2 linked regions of the Macaca mulatta genome follow. The protein of the gene in region 1 interacts with the protein of each later gene in a biochemical or structural test. Links are inferred from orthologs where the notes say so. Each region holds a gene or a part of one and is shown on either strand. Other genes may lie near its edges. The genes, in order: CTTN and ACTR3.

What was found.
Region 2: the proteins of CTTN (region 1) and ACTR3 form a complex in vitro, tested with the Homo sapiens proteins (3 studies listed by BioGRID). The link is inferred for Macaca mulatta from reciprocal best matches to the Homo sapiens genes CTTN and ACTR3.

Annotation. Positions count from the first base shown.
Region 1 is NC_133419.1:4,232,874-4,236,690, forward strand, and holds part of CTTN (src substrate cortactin), read right to left. Parts: intron 2,889-3,817; coding exon 2,711-2,888; coding exon of another isoform or gene 2,647-2,710; intron 2,365-2,646; coding exon of another isoform or gene 2,343-2,364; coding exon 2,271-2,342; intron 989-2,270; coding exon of another isoform or gene 962-988; coding exon 825-961; 3' UTR 421-824; exon of another isoform or gene 386-420; 3' UTR 1-385.
Region 2 is NC_133417.1:23,658,878-23,662,694, reverse strand, and holds part of ACTR3 (actin-related protein 3), read left to right. Parts: intron 1-1,047; coding exon 1,048-1,191; intron 1,192-3,251; coding exon 3,252-3,425; intron 3,426-3,817. UniProt on the Homo sapiens protein: ATP-binding component of the Arp2/3 complex, a multiprotein complex that mediates actin polymerization upon stimulation by nucleation-promoting factor (NPF).

The sequences.
Region 1 (3,817 bases):
CCCAACGCAGACCTCAACTGCACTGTGCCAATCCAGAGACCTGCGGGGCAGGGAAAGATTTCAAGGACTTGGTGACGCTGCCCGGCAGGGGCAGAAGAGGCTCCCAGCAGCCCTCCCAGCGACCTGGGTAAGGGATGAGTAGAGATGAGGACGAGCCGGGGTGGGCACAGGAAAAAATCCAGGGTCTCTGCTAGAAGGCACCTGATCCCGTGGGCTGTCACGGTATGACACAGGCAGATTTCCCATCTGACGTGGCAGCTCCTGTGTTCTGGGTGACTTAGCTCCGTGTTAACCTCCAGCAGGCCCGCCCCTCTCCCCCCAAACACTGAGACTCTAGAGGGAGCCCTCGTCTGGGACAGTCCTTCCTGCCTACCCGCCACAGGGCCTGGGACAGTCCTTCCTGCCTACCCGCCACAGGGCCCACCTGAGGCCTCGTGCTTGTCGTGGGAGGCCCCGACTGCACTTGATGAGCACGAGGGCAACACGCACTCAAGAGAATGCGAGCTCCCTGAAGCTGCCGCGTGTGACAGTCAATTTGGCAAAAAATAAAACAAAAAAAACCCCATCAATCCATCAATGCATAAAACCAATTACCAAAGTCCTCCTAAGGAATGTGATTACAATATATTAGCAAATTCTGTGGCATAAACATTTTCAAAAGCATCAGCAAAAGTATTAAATATAAAAGCAATGTGTATATTCTCCTCCCCACCTTCAAAAAAAACCAAAAAAACCAAAAAAACCCAAAACCCAAGAACCAAAGAAGGCCTGATCTGTAGTGTGAGGGTCCGGGGCGCAGCTCCGGGGGCTGGGGGCTGGGGGCCCTACTGCCGCAGGTCCACGTAGTTGGCTGGGAAGAGCCCGTACCGGCCCTTGCACACCCCACGCCACCAGCCGTCGTCAATCATTTCGATGTTGGTGATGATGTCATCGGGGTCAAATGAGATCTCATCATCACCCGCTGGGGAAGAGAACGCAGAGAAAGGTGCTAAGTGCGAGCGTTTCCTGGTCTGCTAGAAAAGAACAGGGCAACCCAGAGCAAACTCCCAGGCAGCCTGCTCAGAGGAGACGCCCCTGCAGAGATGCACTGCGGAGGCTCCTGCTGCCTCTCTTGCCACCAAGGCCAGGATTTGTCAAGAACATGAGCCAAGTGACTACGGAGATGCCCAGAGCCCCTCACACAAAACACCCACCCCACCCGGACCCCTTCCTCAGGAGCAGGTTTCCACCACGTAACTCCAGCCCTGCCCGCCCTCCCTTCCCCTCTCTCCCTGGCAGACGTGTCTGTGGAGGGGGTGGGGAGATGGGCTGCCCAAGGCCATGGGGGTGTGGAGGCCACAGCAGAGGGACGGCTGGGGGACACCCGGAGAGAAGCCCGAGGTGATGGCTTAAATGGGCCTGGAGGGCAAAAGCCACGGTGATGAGAATCCACACACAGGTGCCGAGATGCCACAGACATATCCACACGTGTGCATGTAAACGCACGTGTGCAAAAGGGACTGAACGGGGACAGCCAGCGCTCACTTATGGTAGCATGCCAACTTCCGCACTGATGGAAAATTGCAAACGGGAAGCACTCAGAGGCAGCGGCCGGGGGTTCGGAAAGGAATCCTACGCCACCCATAAGATGCTTGTCAACTGCAGAGGGGTGGCAGTGGCTTTGTGGACCAGATGGTGGCTGAGACAGAGGGACAGGTGGACGCCACGCGGCACAGCAGGGAGCCCCACCACATGGTCTCCACGACCTCACTGCCACCAGAGCACGGCTCAGCCTGGCCCTGAGGGAACACAGGGCAGGCGGCTGAGGCCAGCCCAGGAGCTGAGGCTGCTCTTAAACTGCCAAGGCCGCAAAGGGAACTCAGGGGGACACGCTGGCCACATGGGAGCTGGCGGCCAGGACAGGACAGGCAGGAATGGGGCATCTGTGTGGCCCCCTCACCTGGAGGGTGGGGCATCCCTGAGGGACAGCGTCCTTGACCTTGGGAAACACGCTGGAGTCTTTGGGGCTGGCAGCACCCTTGCAGCTCTCCAAGGGTTCAGAGAATACTAAAGATAACGGGGTGGGTGCGTGTGTGTGCGGAGATGGAATCTGGGTAGGGAACATGGGAGTTCTTGGCACCATACCTGCTACTTTTCTATACCTCTGAAATTATCTCAACATAAATTATTTCTAAAACTAACAATGCTGGAGAAGTCAATTCTCAGGAAACAAGCACAGGCGGGTGCAGCCGCCCGGGTCTCCCCTCTGAACACTTTTGCGGGCCGCTCACCAGCCTGGTAGTCGTACAGGGCGACGGCTGTGATCCCCAGGTCGTTCTCGTACTCGTCGTAGGTGCTGTCCTCTAAAAGAAAGCCAGGACAGAGCTGAGCAACACAAAGTCCCACACAGGTTCCCAGCCTTCTCAAGTTTTAGACGACACTTCCCAAGATTCTGTCCCAAAGACACAGGACGGCCGCTGAAGCCCTCCCTTCCTCTGCCCTGCCCGCCCGCCCCCAGCACGACGGGGATCTTCCCGGGATGCAGCTCCGGAGCCGCTGCCCCAAATGTGTCTAGAGCACGTCCCTCAAGGGACAGAAAGACCCTGCAGCAAGCAGGCGAAGGCGGGTCAGCGGGAAACCCACCCACGCTCCTCGCAAGGACGCCACAGGTCGAGCAGGATGTCTCGGGAGCTCCCCACCGGGAAGGGCGCTGCAGCGTGGGGCCCAGTACCTGTGGGATAGTGGCCTGGGGCCTCTGTGCTTTCGTAGACAGCCTCTGTGGCGTAGGCCAGGCCCTGCTGGCTGCCGGCCTCTCGATAGTCAGCGGCCTCCACGCTGTACAAGGGCTCCGGCTCCGTCTCACTCACAGGGCCTCTGTAGCTCAGCTCTGCCTTGAAGGAAGCCGCGTCCTGGGGAAGGGTCACACGCACATGGCACGGGGCCCGTGTTGGCTTCCAGAGAGCAGCAGCTGCACTGCCACAGCCAGCAGAAACCCACAGGCCACCTAATTCTCAGTCCCAGCCAGGACTGAGAAAACAGATGTGGCACAGGAAGGCCAGGCCTGCTGGCATGTTCACCATGGTGGTGAGTGCGGGGAGGCCCACATGCCATTTCCTTACCGATGACTGGGTCCTCACCCCCGGAACACCCCAGTCCTGCAGTAGCCACGCCCACACAGCAGGTTAGGAGCCACGCCCCTGCCTGCGCTGTTGCCTGGGGGTAGAGCCCATCTTTGTTGGGTTAATTTGGCTGATTTCGAGGCACAAGGCACCCTGGGGCCGAGTGGCCACCCTCCTGCCCTGTGCTGCTCGACCCTGGCCCTGCCTGACAGCAGCTTCACCACATGGCTGCAGAGCGGCTGAGCCTGCAGACCGGGCTCTGCCCTAAACAAATCCTCTCTGCAGAGGGCAGTAAGGGCATCGCCGAAGAATCACATTCAACTACAAAGGTGCCAGCGGAACACCTCTTTATTTATAACCACCGCAGCTTCGGAGCCCTAACGAAAATCCCGACCCGCTTATCACCGATGCTGGCTTTAATCAGTGTTTCTGAGCAGGGTCCAACTGATGTCACCGGCAGTGAGAGAAAGCAATGCCAACAGCTCAGAAACGCGCACCCAGGAGATCCGGGAAGAACTGGTGGTGGAGCGCTGCTCGCCAGGGAGAGTGAGGGGCAGGGAGAGCGACTCCACCCTCAGCGCAGGCGCCGGGAGCCACGCAAGGGCCGAGCTGCACGGGACGGGCAGGGTCGGAGCTTCCTTGCGGCAGACGGCGCTGACTGCCAAGGGGAGGGACGAGAGGGGGAGGCTCGTTCCCGATGAGCTGCAAGGCCTCACTTA
Region 2 (3,817 bases), on another chromosome or scaffold:
CTTTCAACTTTGGCTAGTGGGATCAGGAACTATTTCTGGCCATGTGTGAGCTCTGTTGGTTGTTCTGTCTACTTTTTTTAGAGGTTCTTTCTCTCACCTTGATGGTTTCCTCACAGGAATGTGCTGATCAGTATTCAGTTAAGGAGATATTCTCTTCACATCTTCCCAGCTCTCCGTTGGTGCAACTCCTTCCCCTCCAATAATTTGGCCTACAAACTTTAGCCACTTTTGCCTTTCTGACCTTTAAATTCTATATCCCTAACTTAATGAGACCAGTTCTGTTTTAGTTCTCTTTCTCGTTGTTGTGGCCTAGTAACTTTCCCTAGGCAGTAGGATAGAGTGTTTGTAACATTCACTTTATTTGTTTCCCTTTTCTTAGAAAGTATCTCTGCCCTACTCTGCCAATTGTCAAATGTCTGAAAACCTTTATTTCTTATAAAGTGTCCTTTATTTAAGTTGAGAGGGTGAGTTCAGTCCCTAATATTCTGTCATGGCCGCTGAAGGCATCCTTAATATTCTTTCCTAATGAAATTTAATTTTGCCACACTATTTGTTATACTTCTGACACATCAGTGAATTTGTGAATCAGTTCTACAGAATTTAGTTATTTGACATTATGGTGGTGTGTGGAAAGCTTCAGGTTTGTGAAATGGATACATACTTCATTAGAAAAATGATAGGCACTTTGTCAAATTTCTTATGACACATTCTAAATTATAATTACTGAAATTATAAATGATTTTAAAATAGTACTATCTGATATAAAGTCTGCTATCTAAACCATTTGATATTTCTATTTTGAAATTTACTGTTTCTGTGTTGTTATTTTAGTCATAGTTATAAATTGTCAATGGGAAAATAAATCTCAAGTTGCTGGCCATTCTTAGTTATTGTTTCTGATGAATAAAGGTGAATTCTGGGATAAAACAGTACTTGAGAATATGAATACACTAACTTGATAAATTGGTCTTTAATGGTTCATATTTTTAGGTTATATTAATTTTCAAAGCATTGAAAGTAAATTTGAAATCTTTTTCCCCCCTCTAGGCTGAAGGGTATGTGATTGGCAGCTGTATTAAACACATTCCAATCGCAGGACGAGATATAACATATTTTATTCAGCAACTGCTGAGAGACCGAGAAGTAGGAATCCCTCCAGAACAATCCTTGGAAACTGCTAAGGCAGTAAAGGTAAAAAGTGAGATAGAAGTGTAATTTAGTTAAAAATTAAAATCACATTTATAACATTAACATGAGAAATTTTTAATTGAAGAACAGTACTTAAAATAATCTTGTTAACCAGTTATAAATTATTACTCTTAAGTATATTTACATTTTCTCTGTATTTCTTGCAAGAAAATTATTATTACAAGTTTGTCTATTTTCTTCATATTTTATATTTGAGAGGAGTAATATATAAGAACATTTTACCAAATGACCTCTCCATAAATTTTTGTGATTCTCTTTATTAAAAATAATTATTTCACTGTAAAGTGCTTGCATCTCAATTTCTTCACTGAATTCTTTATTTTAATTTTAAAAGCTTTTGTCATAAAAATTATTTTGATATAATTGATTCATTGTGCTATAGTATAGAGGCAGTGTTAACTCAAGTGATAGGGCACATAGAAAAACATTAAGGCTATCTAAAGTATTTTTTAAATTTTTTCTGCCATGTAAGTATTATATCAATGCTTCATGCAAACTATCAAAATACTTTAACATCATCTTTCAAACTTACTATTTGCCACATAACCAAAAAATTTCAGTGGGTCTCACATGTTTTGAAAAGTAAAACTGCCCTGGCAAAAGTAACTTTTACTTATTTGTCTCTCTTTGCATGGTTTTTTTTTTCACTTATACATTTTTAAATTTTTTATTTCTTATTTTTATTGATTTATTTTTTATAGAGATGGGATCTTGTTCTGCTATCCAAGCTAGAGTGCAGTGGCACAATCATGGCTCACTGCAGCCTCAAACTTCTGGGCTCACGTGATCCTCCTGCCTCAGCCTCCTGAGTAGCTAGAACTGCAGGTGCATATCACCATGTCTGGCTAAGTTTTTGTAGAGATGGAGGTCTTGTTATGTTGCCCAGGCTGTTCGTGAACTCCTGACCTTAAGCAATCCTCCTGCCTCAGAATCTCAAAGTGCTGGCTGTGAGCCACCATGCCTGGGCCTCTTTGCATGTTTATGGGATTTTCCTTGCTCGTCAGAGCTTAAGAATGAAAATTTATCAACTACTTCCTAGGTAGTAAATTAGTAAAGGACTGCCAAAAGTTACCCCAAGTTGGTGGCATAAGAATTAAATATATAAAAAGTTAATGTGAATACTACTGATTCAACATCTTTGGGAAATCTGTAAAATTAAAGCAAAATGAGAAAACACCAGAGATTTAAATCTATTCCAGAGAAGATTGATGGTCAGTCTGAATGTCTTTAAAGGAGTATCATTTCTTGTCATTCCCACTTCTAAGGTTTGGAGAAGACCTCAAATAGTGAATCAAATGTCTTTCGTTTCCAGTATTTTTTCTCTTTGTGTATTTTGATTATTACTAGTAATATTTGCAACTATCTCGGATGGAGCCTGTGATGTATAAAAATACTGGAAAAGGAAGGCTTTTTAAAAATATATATATATAGGCTGGCAGTTGGGAGTTTATAAATTACAAATATGATGTTATAATCTATAATATATTTTTCAATGTTTTTGATAAAACTTTTACTTAGGTGTCATATAACCAAATATGCAACAAAATGGAGTAATTTATATTTTTAGCGTTCTTTCTTTGCTCATTTATTTACTCAGACTGTAATCAGTTTTGTTTCAGATATTAAGGATCTAATTAATTTGTGTGGTTATCATAATTATTACTTATTCCTCAGTTCTATATTTTATTTATTCTCCTTACGTAGAGCACGAGATTCATTATTACTGAGACAGAAAATGTTGAATGACATTAATGAACATTTTCAGGAAATAACACTGAAGTAGTAGAAATCAGCTCTCCAATCTCTCAAATATTATTTATATTTAAAGTCAGAAAATATGTGTAGGAGATGAGTATGTTTATTTGTACTACACATATGATAACATCCTAACATAAATTTTACTCCCAGCTTAATTTCCTAATTTTATTTTCTGAAGAAGTTTTTTTTTTTTTATTTGATTCTAGTTTACTGAAAACATGCCATTCTTTTTTACTGTTCCTGTAATAGGCAAAAAAAGTTACTTTTGTTTATTTGTTTTTCAGGAGCGTTATAGTTATGTCTGCCCAGATTTAGTAAAAGAATTTAACAAGTATGATACAGATGGGTCAAAATGGATTAAACAGTATACTGGAATCAATGCTATCTCAAAGAAAGAATTTTCTATCGATGTTGGTTATGAGAGATTTTTGGGACCTGAAATATTTTTTCATCCAGAGGTAAGTTTTTTTTAACGGAATTGTTTAAAAATATTCAGCAGCAAATATCAATTAATGGATATTCAGAGAGAATTGATCTCAAAAACTTTTATTAGTATACTAAAAACCGTTTGAATTTTTATGAAAAGTTTTATTTAAAAGTTTTATGAAATTTTTAAAGAAAAAATTTGCTTTTCTTTAAACAAGTGAAATTGTTGCTATTTTTTGTAGATTTAGAAAAAGCTTTTTTTTTTTTTTTTAAATATGGGGGCTTATGTGGGGGGGTCATGGGAAGAGGGGAGCCCTTAAACTTTTTTTTTCTTCCCTCAGTCGTGGACTCAGGTAAAGTTTTGTAATCATTTAAATAAAATATTTTGGGAAAGGTTATAGAAAGCTCCCCCCTCCCCATTTGT